Saccharomyces cerevisiae S288C: one gene and its partners. Changing the gene in region 1 together with any one later gene gives a genetic interaction. Each region holds a gene or a part of one and is shown in the gene's direction. Other genes may lie near its edges.

The links.
Region 2: mutations in ISC1 (region 1) and GPI16 together harm fitness less than expected from each alone (positive genetic interaction), as found in Saccharomyces cerevisiae (one large-scale study listed by BioGRID).
Region 3: mutations in ISC1 (region 1) and IPT1 together harm fitness more than expected from each alone (negative genetic interaction), as found in Saccharomyces cerevisiae (2 studies listed by BioGRID).
Region 4: of ISC1 (region 1) and ELO3, changing one suppresses a phenotype caused by changing the other (phenotypic suppression), as found in Saccharomyces cerevisiae (2 studies listed by BioGRID, with this or other methods).

What each region holds. Positions count from the first base shown.
Region 1 is NC_001137.3:190,988-195,176, forward strand, and holds ISC1 (inositol phosphosphingolipid phospholipase), read left to right. Parts: upstream 1-1,809; coding exon 1,810-3,243; downstream 3,244-4,189. Other genes in the region: AAA family ATPase AFG3, read right to left, coding at 1-801; kinetochore-associated Ndc80 complex subunit SPC25, read right to left, coding at 972-1,637; Arf family guanine nucleotide exchange factor SBH2, read right to left, coding at 3,286-3,552; GPA2 (guanine nucleotide-binding protein subunit alpha), read left to right, coding at 4,181-4,189. UniProt on the Saccharomyces cerevisiae protein: Responsible for the hydrolysis of the phosphosphingolipids (IPS), inositol phosphorylceramide (IPC), mannosylinositol phosphorylceramide (MIPC), and mannosyldiinositol phosphorylceramide (M(IP)2C).
Region 2 is NC_001140.6:481,191-485,614, reverse strand, and holds GPI16 (GPI-anchor transamidase subunit GPI16), read left to right. Parts: upstream 1-1,777; coding exon 1,778-3,610; downstream 3,611-4,424. Other genes in the region: ERG9 (bifunctional farnesyl-diphosphate farnesyltransferase/squalene synthase), read right to left, coding at 1-770; PTH1 (aminoacyl-tRNA hydrolase), read right to left, coding at 1,015-1,587; Elongator subunit IKI1, read right to left, coding at 3,696-4,424. UniProt on the Saccharomyces cerevisiae protein: Component of the GPI transamidase complex. Involved in transfer of GPI to proteins.
Region 3 is NC_001136.10:589,154-593,744, reverse strand, and holds IPT1 (inositolphosphotransferase), read left to right. Parts: upstream 1-2,400; coding exon 2,401-3,984; downstream 3,985-4,591. Other genes in the region: SNF11 (Snf11p), read right to left, coding at 797-1,306; PAA1 (polyamine acetyltransferase), read left to right, coding at 4,343-4,591. UniProt on the Saccharomyces cerevisiae protein: Catalyzes the addition of a phosphorylinositol group onto mannosyl phosphorylinositol ceramide (MIPC) to form mannosyl diphosphorylinositol ceramide (M(IP)2C), the major sphingolipid in membranes of S.cerevisiae.
Region 4 is NC_001144.5:865,336-869,344, forward strand, and holds ELO3 (fatty acid elongase ELO3), read left to right. Parts: upstream 1-2,018; coding exon 2,019-3,056; downstream 3,057-4,009. Other genes in the region: Rho family guanine nucleotide exchange factor ROM2, read left to right, coding at 1-1,449; VID22 (Vid22p), read right to left, coding at 3,327-4,009.

The sequences.
Region 1 (4,189 bases):
AAACATGCCGCCGAGGCCTCCTCCACCACCACCATTGGCATTTGGTGGTGAACTATTTATTTTTCTGGTTATGAAGTAAAGGCCACCAAGCAGAATGATGGTGGGCAGGAAGGGGAACAAAAATGTGAAGGGAGAAGATCTCTCAATGTATTTGATGGGGATACGATCCCGAGGAGGAATGTTCAAGAGGTCCTGGATCTGGTCCATCTGTTCCTCAAAAATATCTACTGAACCAATGGTGAACGATACAACTTGCTTTGTATTGACTAATTCGGCCTCTACGAGAAACTTATTAACGACGTAAATCTTGGACACAAGACCCTTCTCCAGGTATTTTGTTTTGAAATCCTGGAAAGTCAAGACGCGGTTAGAGTCGTCTCCTGAGTTGTTACTGGAAGGTGTGAGCAAAGTAAATATAATTGTGAATCCGATGGTCAAAAACATCGTATTAGCAAATTCCTTAGATCTGAAGTATTCTGATAATGAACCAAACTCATTTCTTTTGTCTTTGCCATCTTCTTTATTGCTATTATTATCTTTATTACCATTGTTCTTGCCCTCACCCTCTTTGTTTGGCCTATTTTCATTTAACCTTGTCCATGAGATATGGAAGGAACGTATTTGGGTAGAACGGTGTATTGTGTTTCTGGTTGCCAGACCAGATAACGTCTGCAAACGCTGGTGAACTGGCATGCGCGAGCGAAGCACTGGCTTCACTGTTGATATGCGGCTAGCTTTACCAAATGAGAGTGATGTCAATGAGCGTGGCGCACCCCTTGCATATCGTTGCCACATCATCATCACTTAGTATATTATAAAATAAGTGGATGATGCCTTTATTTGAAGACTGCGTTAATCTCCTTTAATATAGAATGGGTCCTTGTAAAAGTTATGTATAGACAGTAAGAACCAATTTATTCCTCATCTAAATCATAGGCCCAGAATAAACTGAACAGATGCGTATAAAGGCGTTATAAAGATGCCAGAAGCATATCGCGGGCCACGACTAAAAATGCCGCGAGGTCGCCCTGGACGGTAAGCACGTGCTCAAGTGTTGCCCGACTCTTGGGGTCCAGCGCCGGGTGAGAGTTTCCGATCACGTGGTCTCCGTGCATCGCGACTTCGATCCAGCAGCGTGAATCATCGCCGAATACGAAACGTACGTCATGCACATCGCTGGCTCCGGGTAGTACACGAAGCTGCAACAGCCGTTCGTACAGTGCGACCTCTGCGGCATCGTTACCCGACTGCGCAGCCCAACGTGCGCGTAATTGGACACACTCTTTACCACGCTGTTGCAGCAGCGAGTCCAGCTCGCGCGATTGGGCTGCTAAGGTCGACTGCCGTCTAGATAACTCAGATTCACGCTCGTGATAGCTTCTCCACTGCTCTCTGGTGGTATTTGTAGCTTGTTGGGCCGCATGTATTTGTTGCTGCAGAGCGGTGCGCTGGGTGGCAAGCCGTTGCAGTTCATCTATGAGATGTTGGTGTTGGTTATGTAATTGACGCATTTCCGCTTGGAACTGTTGCAGCTGTTGGCGCGCGTGGTTTTGCTGACGTGCCAGTACCTGGGCCACGTCCTTTTGGAACCCGTCCATCCGGCGCTCAAGGTCCGAAAATGCGTCTATGCTGGCCATTCTTGTATGTGTGTATGTGTTGTATACGTATGAGCGGTTTTAATTGAATCGGCTTAGCCTGTTTTTGTTTTTGTTTTTGTTTTGTTTTGGTTTGGTTTGATTTATTTTGGTTTGGCTTAAATCTTCGAGGAAATTTGCGCTTTCCGCGTAAAAAGGGAAAAAAAGCAGATATATGTACAACAGAAAAGACAGAGATGTTCACGAGAGGAAGGAAGATGGTCAATCTGAGTTTGAAGCACTGAACGGGACCAACGCAATTATGTCCGATAATAGTAAAGCGTATTCCATAAAGTTTCTGACCTTCAATACATGGGGGTTAAAATACGTCTCCAAACACCGTAAAGAAAGACTCAGAGCAATTGCTGATAAATTGGCGGGCCACTCAATGCTTACGCCAATATCTGACGAGTTGTTGCCCAATGGTGGAGATAGTAATGAAAACGAAGATTACGACGTGATTGCCTTACAAGAAATCTGGTGTGTGGAAGACTGGAAGTATCTAGCTTCTGCGTGTGCCTCCAAGTATCCGTATCAGCGTTTGTTCCATTCTGGTATTCTGACGGGGCCTGGGTTGGCCATACTGTCCAAGGTCCCGATAGAGTCGACCTTTCTTTACCGGTTCCCGATAAACGGTAGACCGAGTGCGGTGTTCCGTGGCGACTGGTACGTAGGGAAATCTATAGCAATCACCGTATTGAACACAGGAACCCGCCCCATTGCAATAATGAACAGTCACATGCACGCCCCATACGCCAAGCAGGGTGATGCCGCCTACTTGTGCCACAGATCTTGTCAGGCCTGGGATTTCAGCAGGCTCATTAAGCTTTACAGGCAGGCCGGTTATGCGGTGATTGTGGTGGGTGACTTAAACTCCAGACCGGGCTCACTGCCCCACAAATTTCTCACGCAGGAGGCCGGCCTGGTCGACTCCTGGGAGCAATTGCATGGGAAGCAAGACTTGGCGGTGATCGCTCGTCTGTCTCCATTGCAACAATTGCTTAAGGGCTGTACCACGTGCGATTCGCTGCTCAACACATGGAGGGCCCAAAGACAACCCGATGAGGCATGCAGGTTGGATTATGCTCTTATCGACCCTGATTTCTTGCAAACAGTAGACGCAGGTGTCAGGTTCACTGAACGGATCCCTCACCTGGACTGCAGTGTCTCTGACCATTTTGCATACTCATGCACCCTTAACATCGTCCCACAGGGCACAGAGTCCCGTCCATCCACCTCCGTTAAGCGTGCGAAGACTCATGATAGAGAGCTGATCTTGCAGAGATACTCCAACTACGAAACCATGATAGAATGCATCCACACGTACTTGAAGACAGCCCAAAGACAGAAATTTTTCCGTGGCCTACATTTCTGGGCCTCAATACTTCTCCTAATAGCGTCGTTGGTCGTGACAACGTTTACTGCAAACAAGGCAGGCTGGTCCTCCATCTTCTGGGTCCTTTTCGCTATTGCTGTCTCCATCTCGGGCACCATCGACGGTGCCATCTCCTTCTTGTTTGGCAGGTCTGAAATCAGAGCCCTCATCGAAGTCGAACAAGAGGTTCTGGACGCGGAGCACCACCTGCAAACTTTCTTGAGCGAGAAATGATATTATCGATTTTCTTTAGCATATGTAAAAAAATTACTGATATTATATAATGTGTGTAAATTTCGTCAATAGATGCAAAGCAATCACGGAGAAGATGAAACCGACAGATAGGAACAATACGACAAGGGAGTCGACTCTGAATCCATTGGCTTCGTCCGTATATAACTTCAAAATTGAGCTTGAAGACCCACCGTAACCAGCCTGTCTGGTGGAAGTGGGCGTTTGTTTTGCTTGCTTTTCCTTAATGGATTGTGCCTGTCTTCTCTTCTGCAAGATACGCTGACCTCCTGGTGGAACTGAAGCTGCCATTCTTATGATACTGTTGATCGATAATACCACCTGTTTTATGCTTTGCGCCCCTTACCTTTTCTCACACGCACATATATCTACTCTCTCATACCTCTTATATCTAAAATGTCTCTTTTGGCCAGTTAGTAACTGAATGAAAAAGTGAAAATGGAGGAAAAAAAAAAAGACGAAATCCAAAAGGCTAAGGAAACGGGTAACCCGTGGTACCCGGGGCAGAATCAAACTTATAATTACTAAAGATATACCATATATTACGATCCCTGCGCCCGGCGTGCTCCACATTAAGTAAATGTCTGGAGTAAAATGAAGTCCGCCAATTCAGTCACAAAACATGACTACTGCCTCGTTCGCGATTTCTTCTTCCCTTACTTCATCATGTTCAAGCCCCCTCAGCTGCGCCCAAATGATTCTTCTTATCCTCTTGCATACTGCACCGAAAAAAAAAGTTAATAAGCAGCAGGATTTATAGGCGCGTGCGTGCAGCCTTAGACTGAAGGGGTGGAAAAACTTTAGGTAGGTTTGGTTCTCACTACCCAAAGAGCAATCGATAGGTATAAAAGTGAGCAATTGCTATCACAGCGAGCCTTATTGTTACAGCACAAATCACGCGTATTTTCAAGCAAATATCATGGGTCTC
Region 2 (4,424 bases), on another chromosome or scaffold:
TCAGGTTTCATGAAGTCCTTCAACTGAGGAGCGTATTGTGACCAGATTTCCTTGGGCCAGAAGGATCTACCATCGACCAAATCTTCATTGTAATCTCTGATGATGTTGGTTTTTTGTAGGAAAAGACCCATGCTTTCATACAATTGCTCATTAGAATACAAAGATTCGTTGGCAAACTTGGCAATGACAATCAAACGGGTCAAACCATCACCGACCAAACCAGCTACGTAGTGACAGTACACGTCGTAGTCGTGGACGGTTTGCAACCCATTCAAGTTGTAATTTTCATCTAAGATGTAGTCGGCCATACCATTACCCATTTTCTCGGTGATCTCCTTGATGACTTCTTGATATTCTGGTTTCAATTTGTGGAATTCAATAAGAATCGATTCGAAATCTGTCAAAACGGCTCTGTCCTTCACATCGGGGGCATTTCCGTCGAAACTCCATTTAGTTAACAACAATTTCTCGTGGAAGTGACGCAACAAGTCAATTTTCAAATCGTGTTCGATGGACATATCGTCTTCGATGGTATCCAAAGCCCTTAAAATCAAATAAAAGAGAGTAACACAGTTTCTCAATTCTGGATGCAGCTCTCTGATCACAGCAGCAAACGATCTGGAGGTCAAGTTCAACAGTTCGAAACAGTGCAAGAGATATGGAGACGTGGACTGATCATAGATGGAGAATAGCGGTGTTCTGCAAAACTTCAGCTTCAAAGCTGCCTTCATCTCGACCGGATGCAATGCCAATTGTAATAGCTTTCCCATTGTGTGTGTGTGATATGTGACGTGTATACGTTTTCCGCTTCTGCTCTTCGTCTTTTCTCTTCTTCTGTGCTCTTATTCTTTGCCCCTGTCCTAACTTTCCATTTATATAGCCCGTGGTCGTGTTCTCGCTGCTCGTTTAGGCACTAAACCCAAAACCGATAACGCCTTCCGATGCAAAGTGCAGTGGAAAAGAAAAAGGGCAAAGCAAATAGGATGGTAAGTCGGTATTGTTGTTGAAGATGGGCTATGAAATGTACTGAGTCAGAGCACGCCAGGCAGCAGGTTCACTCTGTGTAAGCAAGGTTTGTAGTTCCTGCGGAGTTAGAGCTCCCAGAACCCACCGGGACACGCTCGCAGGGTCTCTAGAACGGGACCCAGGTTCTCTGCCGATTCCAATAGCCAATTTGGCAAAGGGTACACGGCCTCCACTGCATTTTAGCAGGCTTCGCAGCCCATTATGACCTCTAATACTGGTGCTGGGGGCTCTGAGCTGCACTTTTCCACACGCCACACTTAACTCGTCATGAATAACTACGTGTCGGGCTTGGTACTTGGCGTACCGGGCCCAGACCTTGCACACCTGTTCTCCACTTAGATTCATGTACTGGCCATCCGATCTTAGTATCGTACAATGTTCGTCTTCTATATAATGCACTTTGCCGCCCGTATTAGGCACAGGGGAATAAGTTCTCCCCTGCAGACCAAGCCGCTTTCGTAGCAGCTCCAGCATATATAGCCCTACATTGTGACGGGTACCAGCGTACTGAGGCTCTGGATTGCCTATCCCGGTCAGCACTAGTCTCCATTTACCGGACATCTTCCTTATCTGCCTAGAGTCGACTTGTTCCTACCTACTATTTTGCATATTATAGGAATAGTTCGAGATTATTTGAAACCGCCGGACCTTTTTGCGCTGGGCGATCTTTTACACGTAGTTTTAGTAGCCAATAAGTAAAAGGAGAGCGGAAACAAGTGTTCAAAGCAAACAAAGCATAGGCAAGACGACGATGATCCTCACACTGGCCTATTTCATGCTGGGCACTCTACTACTGGGTGTGTTCGCAGAAGACACGGTGTCGCAGATTGGTATAAATGACAGTTTATGGTATCCGTACGACGAAGCACTGGTGTTGAAGCCGCTGCCCAACAATGATCTGCTACTCTCATTTGCATTCCAACTGCAATCGGAACCGTTTGACCCGGCCGTATCATCCATGTCATATGATGCGTATGAGCACTACACGACTTTCCCACGGGCCATCCCACCATTGTTGGAATCTACTGCCACGCGTCAGTTTCATTTAAGATTTACCAGAGGATTCTGGGATGCCCTGTCGTGGGGACAGTTGCCACATGCTGGAAAAGAGGCAGGTGCCTCAGGTGTGGAATTGTGGTCGCAAGTGCAGGCCATGGATCAGGAACAGGCGTTCCATAATTGGAAAAAACTGTCCAATTCATTGAGCGGATTGTTTTGTTCTTCTTTAAATTTTATCGACGAGTCAAGGACGACCTTTCCCCGGCGGTCATATGCTTCTGATATAGGAGCTCCTCTTTTCAATAGCACCGAGAAACTGTACCTGATGCGAGCATCGTTGCCCAATGAACCCATCTGTACCGAGAACTTGACGCCGTTCATAAAACTATTGCCTACTAGGGGCAAATCCGGTTTGACATCTCTCTTGGATGGTCATAAATTGTTCGACTCTCTATGGAATAGTATTTCCTTGGATATTGCCACTATTTGTTCTGAAGATGAAGATGCTCTTTGTCACTACGAGATGGACGCACGCATAGAAATGGTAACACACGTTCCCTCCGCCTTGGCAAGAGGTGAGAGACCTATCCCCAAACCTTTGGATGGGAACACATTGCGTTGTGACACGGATAAACCCTTTGATTCTTACCAATGCTTCCCTCTACCGGAACCTTCGCAGACTCACTTCAAGCTGTCTCAGCTGTTTGCCAGACCAATAAACAATGGCAACCTGTTTGCTAATAGGCCCACAAGAATTTGTGCAGAAGTTGACCGTTCTACCTGGACTGCGTTTTTGTCAGTTGACGATACTATTTTCAGCACACATGATAATTGCTTTGACTTATCAAACGATCAAAATGAGGGTGGTTCGGGCTACGACTTTATTTTAGAATCGACGGACACTACTAAAGTTACTCCCATAGTTCCTGTCCCAATTCACGTAAGCAGATCTCTGACTGGTAATGGACAAGATCGTGGTGGAATGCGTATTGTTTTCCATAACGACAATGATACCCCTGTGAAGTTGATTTATTTCGAATCATTGCCATGGTTCATGAGAGTTTACCTATCCTCTCTTCAAATTACTTCTACTACCTCTCCGCAATTGCAAGAAAACGATATCATCTTAGATAAATACTATTTACAAGCGGCCGATAGAAAAAGACCTGGCCACTTGGAGTTCACGATGTTAATTCCAGCTAATACGGACATTGTAATGACTTATCAATTCGATAAAGCTCTTCTGCAATTTGCCGAGTATCCACCAGATGCAAACCATGGTTTTGAAATCGATGCAGCTGTAATCACCGTGCTATCTTTGGAGTCCTCATCGTCTCTTTATGAAATGAGAACCTCTACCCTATTGTTATCCCTGTCTACACCGGATTTTAGTATGCCGTATAACGTCATCATTCTAACATCTACAATCATGGGACTCATATTCGGTATGCTATACAATTTGATGGTGAAGAGAATGGTCACCGTCGAAGAGGCCGATAAGATTACGTTGCAATCTGGCTTAAAATACAAATTGCTAAAGCTAAAGGAAAAGTTCCTAGGGAAAAAAAAGACTAAAACAGACTAACAATCTAGCATCTAGATATGTGTATGAAGTATACGTAGTTTACATAATCTGGAAGCACTCACTATTTACCATCAGTTTCTACTTTTTAAAAGGGATCCTCATATGGATCCTCTTCATCATAATCGTCATCCTTTTCGTACTCATAAACAATAGCACCCCCTTGTCCAAAGCTTTGTGCCTCCAGAAAAGGCAATGCGACTTGATCTTTGGCCAGCTTCTGTTTGTTGGATGTTCCTAGGTTGAATGTTGTTAATCCTTGCAACATTTCGGGTGTCTCCAGTCCGTTACTACTGCTCTCCTCTTCTTGCTTAGTGGTTGATAATAATTCATATTCGTGGGTGTTTGAATTTACTATGAAGTCGTATTCCAATGACCTGCCGGACTTTCTTTTATTAACAAGTCGTAATTGAAATATATCGTTATTTAACCCGCGAGGAATTCTAAATTCGTTTAACAATTCACTCACCTCCTCAGTATCGAGAGTGCCTGTTAATACCACATCAATATCTACTATTGTAGTGGCCATAAACTGCAGTAAAGTCAACTTATCAGGATAATTGTTATTCCAATCAGGTATTACCGTACGGTTCTCATCTTTGATGTCTTTATGATAAGTCGCAACCATCGTGCAGTGAGGAGAGGCGATCTCAGACAAAAACCTTGTTATGTATTCTGTAGAAATATAGTTCAATGAATCGATAATGACCATGTGCTTTTTTGCCTGTGTGGCAGTAGCAGCCGGTAGATATGATATAATTTGTTTCACTAAATGTACAAAATCCATCTGCGTAGCGTCAATAAATTGAGTACAGTA
Region 3 (4,591 bases), on another chromosome or scaffold:
AGATCTCCGAAAGTACACGGAAATTGATAGTATTTAAATGAATCAGCTGAGACTTCCAGGGATGTCCGAAAATGGGGGGTTAAAGGCGTATTGTCCCAAAGAAAATGAGAATCGAGATTGTCTCTCCTTGATCGTCATAGTAGGAGCGTAACTAACCCCTATAATCAGACCCTCGGCCGCTCCGTCTCACTGCCGATTTCCCTGTATGGCACCAAATTTTTTCTTTTACAAGTTCCTTACGTAGAGAACGAGAAGAGAATAGAAAGGAAGGGGTTGACCGTTGGAAGGAGGGGGTCCAGCGAGGCTAGACTAGGTTAGGCTAGGCCAGAAGAGAAGGAGGGGAGGGAAAAGTCAGAGAGTCAAAAGGAGAAGGGGCTACGCTCCAAATGGCGTAGAGTAAACTAGTAGATATTGAGATTAGGCTTCCGTTACCGACGTGCATGATGAAGATGACAATGCTTACTGCGACGATGACGAAGGTGGCTCTCGAAGAAGATAATAAGAAAGTAGTATTAATAGGGCTGGCAGTAAGATAACTACATCTGATGTCATAGATTTTAAAATACTAATATTATTATTTACGTTGGGTACATTACATACGATAAATTCATGCAGTTGTAGTACTTGAGTGATTGTTATTTGCCTTTCTTTTTCTGCTTTTCGTATTCTATTTTTCTTATGCTTCCTGTACTTGCTCTGCGGGTATGCAATCACACCTGTAGCTGAATGCAAAATTAAAATTGCAAAAGTAAAAAAAAAAAAACAAAATAAAAAAGGGAAGAGAAACAAAGTTATTCTACCATATCTCGAACACTCTTGCCAAGAGAAGATAGAGTTTAGAAAGAATATCCTGTGGAGGTTGCTGCTGGTTGGCTAGCTGAGGAGGCGTGAGGATCAGTGGTTTCGCTGAGGGCACTCCTTGGTTTATCTGAGATATGCATTGAAGATTGGCATGAACCCTTTTAAGGAACTGAGATATAAGTTGCTGTATCCTGATGATGTTATTGTTATTGCTATTATTTATATTGTTCTGTAGATTGTTTTGTAAACTATTATTCATCTGAATAACTCTAGCAAGTAATATGCTGTTGATATGCAATAGCAGTTGTACCTTATACTGTCTTTGCTCATCGACCGTGGGGAGGTTCAGCTCTGCAGTTGCATTTGCAGTTGCATTTGCAGTTGCATTTGCAGTTGCATTTGCATTTGCATTTGCATTTGTATTTACATCTACGCCAGCGCCAGTATTGCGGTTCTCGTTTTCAGTGTTGGTGTTCGTATTCGAGTAGGCAATTTCACTGCTCATTTTTCTGGGAAAAAAGGAAATCTGTGTGTTTTGCTTATATGCACATTGAATTTACACTCCCGATCGTGATGCGCTCTGAGCCCTGAATAGAGGGTATCATAAACGGCAATCTTACTACGACCCCACGTAATATGCTTTTATGGGAAGTCTGTTCTCCACTCCGTATATACTGTTAGGAGAAAAAAGGAAAAAAAATTTGCCCGAAAGTCGATTGTTACCCGGCAAAACAATCATCAAAAAAAAACAGGTAGAAGAAGGCTTGCTATAATTTGAACACTCTCTACCCTCCTGGCTGCTTTATCTACTTCTGTTGGCTTGAGAAACGTCATATCTATATATAGCGTAGATATGTTTATTCGCGTTTGCACTGGCCTTGAAGAAACGTGAAAAGAGGGTGGTTTCACCGCACAGCGGGGTTATCCTTGGTTACTCGTAAATGCCAATAATCCATCTTGAATAATTCCTATTCGAGACGCATGGGGAAATGCAAGGCAAGCTAACACGTAGTAGAATACCCTGCTGCACAGCGCCGTTGGGGTCTCAAGTGCAATTGCCGTTTTGCGCGGCGATAAACGGCTAAAGATTACTTCAGTTGGCCACGGCAGCTGCGCCCTTCCCGAGTGGATTACGCTCACGTGCTTTCCGCGGAACAAAAATGTGAACGCCACGGGAAAAAAGCATTATCCCCGCGCCGCTTCTTGACGCCTCTGATTGTGCTGATTGATTCCGCTTTTTTTTTTTACCGGCTTTTTTCTCCGCCTTCTTCGCCTCAATCGAGAGTTCTGGTGTAAATTCTCTTACGAAGTGCAAAGTTAGTAGGAAAGTAAAAAAAATAAGAAAAAGGAAAAATGCCTAGAAATGCAGACCTCCGGCCACAACATTTTTATATAATACATTCGAGCATCAAAAACCAGGAACAATAGAAGAGTAATCGCTACTTGTCAAATAAAAATAAAAAAAGGAAACCTAAGGCATAGTGTTTTCATAAGCATCGCTACTTTTTCATTGCCACCCTAACTGTTCCTTTATTTCACCGGTTGGACGTTATCATTTCTGCTAAGAATCACCTAAAGTCTTTCAACGTCTAAGAAAGCATGAATGTCATATTTTCTTTGGCGAGTTTCGTCAAAAACATGTATAATGCAAGTTTGAACCAACGTAATCTAATAAGCCTGCCGTTCAACTTCATGCTTAATTTTGCGCCAGTGTTTATTTGGCTGTCTATATTCAAGCGCGCTGGTCTGATACCCATAAGGCTCAGACCTGACATTCATAGCAAGTTTGCTTTTTTTGCTGATCAATTCCTCTTTGGGGACTATTGGCATGAACTTACTGTACAATTGCCCGATAATACTTCGAAGCTATTTTTCTGGTCATTCATATCATCTTCTGCATTTCTCTTAGTATTTCTGATATGTATTCCCTTTGCCATTTGGTACTACATCTATTACATTAAGCACGTTAACTATAATCTGTTAGAGTGGTTCGCAAATATTTTTCATTACCCCTGCAAGCGCAAGCAGCGGCCGATCCAAAAGAGATTTCGGACAATTTTCATACCGTTTGCCTTGCCCCTGTTTACATTTGTTATACTCAACATTGATCATTTCTTTGCTTACCAGTCGGATGCAAACTTTACTAAGACCAAGGATTTACTGGCTTGGTTCTCCTATGTCATCCTGCACTTGACAGCTCCAATTTTAACAGCTGTATACTTATACGTCTTCCAACCACCGGGGACTTTAAAATGCTTTAGTTTTGCCCTAGGATTACAAAATATAGCGGGGGTCCTTACCCATCTGCTTGTTCCAATGGCCTCCCCATGGTTTACTCATCTGTACGGTATTGATGACACCGAACATGTTAATTACACCCAGGAAGGGTTTGCTGCCGGTTTGATAAGAGTAGATAGCCATTTGGGTACTCATTTGAACACTAAAGGATTTCACATGTCTCCTATTGTGTTTGGTGCTGTTCCTTCACTACACTCCGCCATTGCATTTCAATGTTTCTTGTTTTTGGTTTCAAGGTCCACCAGCTTAAAACACAGATTTTCCAATGCTGGAGGTTTCACAATGCACAATAATGATTCTTCCACTTTCAAGTTGAGTGAGGAAGACAGCGAAGATGAAGGTGACAATAGCATACCGCCCACGATTGGCCCTAACGACTTAGAGATGGAACCATTGGGTACCGTTGAGCCTGTAGATATTTCAAATGAGCGGTCCTCCTCCCCTTCATCTTCATTCACCGTATCCAGTAATGAAAGAAGCACCGGCGGCGGCGACGGCAGCATTATTAACAGCAATGGCAATAAGAAACCTCTCCAGTTTGTCCATTTATATGATGAAGACACGAACTTCACAAACAAATGGATTTTTAAAATAGTCAACGATGGGTTTATACCAAAATTCTGGGCTATCCTATATATAATACTACAATGGTGGGCTACCATGTATCTGGACCACCATTATAGATTTGACCTTTTCGTTGGTGTTTTATATGCAATGACAAGTTTCATCATCATAAACTGGTTTGTTTTACAACCAAAAGTTTTAAAAAAGTGGATTCATATAAGGTTAGGCGACAAAGTGGATACAAGAAACGAAGCTCGCACTTTTGGCATGAGAGTATTTTGTGGCACCAAGATGGAATGGTTTTTTGATCCGCTTGCATAGACTATAGAATGTCATAATGTAATAAAAGTAATTTCGGATAATTTAAATAATATAGATTGGCTTTTTTTTTAATAATATATTATTAGTGTTATGCATGCTTTTTTTTTTTATTTTAATAAAGGGTTAACCTGAAATCGGCTTGCTTTTGGTTTTCTGTCAATTCATAAAAAGAATAGTTTTGAACGGGCAAAAATGGAAAAGCAATGGAAGAACGACGAACATCCCACTGGACAAGAAGCGGGAGCAAGTGTTTGTAAGAAAAATTTACAACAAACTAGATTAAGAAGAATTGGACATCAGAATACTTTTCTCGGAGAAAAAATAACACCAATACATTACGATTAAATAAAAAGTTAAAATGGCCTCCTCAAGTAGCACGCTACCGCTTCATATGTATATTAGACCCTTAATCATTGAAGATTTAAAGCAGATTTTGAACTTGGAAAGCCAAGGTTTCCCACCAAACGAAAGAGCTTCAGAAGAAATTATCAGCTTTCGTTTGATCAATTGTCCAGAGCTATGTTCAGGTCTTTTCATCAGAGAGATCGAGGGCAAAGAAGTTAAAAAGGAGACACTAATTGGTCATATTATGGGTACTAAGATACCT
Region 4 (4,009 bases), on another chromosome or scaffold:
AATGACGAAAGGAGAAAAATTAAACATGAAGGTATACTATCACGGAAGGAGTTGTCAAAATCGGACGGAACAGTTGTTGGTGACATACAATTTTATCTTCTAGATAATATGCTCTTATTTTTAAAGGCCAAAGCAGTTAATAAATGGCACCAGCATAAGGTATTCCAAAGGCCCATTCCATTGCCATTGTTATTTGCATGTCCAGGTGAAGATATGCCTGCGTTGAGGAAATATATTGGAGACCACCCAGATTGTTCAGGAACTGTAATTCAACCAGAATACAACACGAGTAATCCTAAAAACGCAATAACTTTCTTATACTACGGTGCCAAGCAGAGATATCAAGTTACATTATATGCTGCGCAATACGCTGGATTGCAAACGCTTTTGGAAAAAATAAAGCAAGGACAAGCAGCTATTATAAGCAAAACGGAGATGTTCAATGTAACGAAAATGAGCGATAGGTTCTTCGATTACACCAACAAAATTAACAGTGTTACTTCCTGTGATGGGGGTAGAAAACTTCTGATTGCAACGAACTCTGGATTGTATATGAGCAACATTAAAAGACAGCAGAATAAAGATCATAGACATAAAAGCTCTGCTTTTTTTTCAACTCCAATCCAACTAGTACAAAGAAATAATATCACTCAAATTGCTGTATTAGAAGAATTCAAATCAATCATACTTTTAATTGATAAAAAATTATACAGTTGTCCGCTGTCATTAATCGAAGCAGAAGGTAATGGGACATCTTTCTTCAAAAAGCATCACAAGGAACTGATCAATCATGTGAGTTTCTTCGCAGAAGGAGATTGCAATGGTAAGAGATTAATCGTGACTGCACACAGTTCATCGCATTCAATTAAGTACTTCGAGCATGAACATCCATTATTGGCCGAAAAAAATGGTAGTGGTAGCGGTAACAAAAAAAGTCTCAAGAAAAAAATCACCGAGGTTATTTTTGATTCTGAACCTGTCTCTATTTCATTTCTCAAGGCCAACCTATGCATTGGCTGTAAAAAGGGTTTTCAGATCGTTAGCATTTCACAGAATGCTCATGAATCCTTGTTAGATCCGGCCGATACATCATTAGAGTTTGCACTAAGGGATACTTTGAAACCAATGGCAATCTATCGTGTGGGAAATATGTTTTTGCTGTGTTACACAGAATTTGCCTTCTTTGTCAATAATCAGGGTTGGAGAAAGAAAGAATCGCATATTATTCATTGGGAGGGAGAGCCCCAAAAATTTGCAATTTGGTACCCGTACATCTTGGCATTCGACAGCAACTTCATTGAGATCAGAAAGATTGAAACTGGCGAATTAATTCGTTGCGTCCTTGCTGATAAGATTCGACTTCTACAAACAAGTACTCAAGAAATCCTGTACTGCTACGAGGATTATCGCGGGTATGATACAGTTGCGTCGTTAGATTTCTGGGGTTAAGATAGCAACGTATATAGACTTTCCTTATTTTCTTTAGAATAAAAAGCATAACTAAAGTTGTAAAAGGAGCAGAATTATGAATAATAAACATTGATGACAATAGTGGAAAACGACATAAATAATAATTTTATAATATAATAATGATAATTCACCGTCAGAGGGATTTGTATGCAAATGATTGATGACGCGAGAAAAAAAAACGCGAAATTTTTCTTCCCAAAGCTTCGAAGTTTTTATTCCGTCCACAAAGTGAAAAATTTTCAGAAAATTTTCCAGACTGTGAATAAACAAAAGGTTGGCTTACGCATTTGGCTTGTCTTTTTTTTTTTTCACAGGTTCTTAGTAAATAATTGTATAAAATATTTATCTGGAGTCTTCTGTTTGTTGTTTAGCCTTGTTTGAAGTTTTATTTAACTTATTACCCCAGTTAGGTACTGTGTATTTTCCGCATATCTGGTGTCTTTTTATTTGGTCATTGATTGGTTTTTGACAGCTCTTCACTCGCTTCAAGCTTACTTCTAGTTTATTTATTCGGCTTTTTTCCGTTTGTTTACGAAACATAAACAGTCATGAACACTACCACATCTACTGTTATAGCAGCAGTTGCCGACCAGTTCCAGTCTTTGAACTCTTCTTCTTCATGTTTCTTGAAGGTTCATGTTCCTTCCATTGAGAACCCATTCGGTATTGAATTATGGCCAATTTTCTCCAAAGTGTTTGAATACTTTAGTGGCTATCCAGCTGAGCAATTCGAGTTTATTCACAATAAGACTTTCTTGGCTAACGGGTATCATGCTGTTAGTATTATTATCGTTTATTACATTATTATCTTTGGTGGCCAAGCTATCTTACGCGCCTTGAACGCCTCTCCATTAAAGTTTAAATTGCTTTTCGAGATACACAACTTGTTTTTGACTTCTATTTCTCTAGTTTTATGGTTGCTGATGTTAGAACAGTTGGTTCCTATGGTTTATCACAACGGTCTATTCTGGTCTATCTGCTCTAAGGAAGCCTTCGCACCAAAATTAGTTACTCTTTACTATTTGAACTATTTGACCAAATTCGTAGAATTGATTGACACTGTGTTTTTAGTTTTGAGAAGAAAGAAGTTATTGTTTTTGCACACTTACCATCACGGTGCCACCGCTTTGTTGTGCTACACTCAATTAATTGGTCGTACTTCTGTTGAATGGGTAGTTATCCTACTAAACTTGGGTGTTCACGTTATCATGTACTGGTACTACTTCTTGAGTTCATGTGGTATTAGAGTTTGGTGGAAGCAATGGGTCACTAGATTCCAAATTATTCAATTTTTGATTGACTTGGTATTTGTTTACTTTGCTACCTATACATTCTATGCTCACAAATACTTGGACGGTATTTTACCAAACAAGGGTACTTGTTATGGTACTCAGGCTGCTGCTGCTTATGGGTATTTGATTCTAACATCTTATTTGCTTTTGTTTATTTCCTTCTACATCCAATCTTACAAGAAAGGTGGTAAAAAGACAGTCAAGAAGGAATCTGAAGTTTCCGGCTCCGTTGCATCCGGTTCTTCTACTGGTGTCAAGACCTCTAACACCAAGGTCTCTTCCAGGAAAGCTTAAATAGGAAGCGAGAATTTTTGACAGCGAATGAAAAAGAAAAAAATTAAATGTTAACATTTTCTTTATATTAAATATGTACGATAAATGAAATCATTATTATAGAAATGATAGATTATTGGCTTGGTGTTTTTCCCATTTTGATTAATCATTTCCTTAGCTGCCCAAAGAATTGCACGCTTACAGTGAGGAGTAGTGATACATTACAATTATAAAATAAAATTATATAGCAGCTAAAATTTAAAACAAACAGACTTTGTTCCTTTGTATGTCCTATGGAAGATACTGACTTGCAGTTTGTAAAGTGTCCAAGTCGTAATCCACTTTACTTGCCACGAATTGATCATTGAATAATTTAATTTTAATAATCTCTTGAGTTAAATCGGGATGTACTCTGGGAATGAAGTCATTTAAAAATGAGTACTCTCCCCTAATGGAGGAAGATGACTGACATTGCATTATCTTGAACAAAATTCTAATTATCGGCCCAGCATCATTATCTAAGTATTGGGACCAGAACGCGTTACACACAGGAACATGGATATCAAGTAACTCTTCAATGAAGTTCATTGGTTGTTCTAGCTCTCCAATAATAGAGTCCTCTGTTATTATTCTCTTCTTGAAACGGCCACTATCTCTAATGAAATTGCTTTGTTCACAATACGACCTGTAAGATATGGGTACGATGGAGTTTACTGTACTCAAGTAATCATATAAGTCCTCTTGAATGATTTGTAAAAAGATACTATCTATTTCCTTTGATATGGTAGAGTCCGATAAATGATGGGTATCGCTAAGAGAACCAAATGATAGGTTATTATTGCTATTCTGTGGTTGTTGTTCCGGTAATACAGAATTTTCTCCACCAGTAGGATCTATATCTATTCTTGATGCGGGCGTATTTGAATTCGAGTGGTTGTCGTTGTCGTTATCATGTTCGTTATCATTATTGTCGC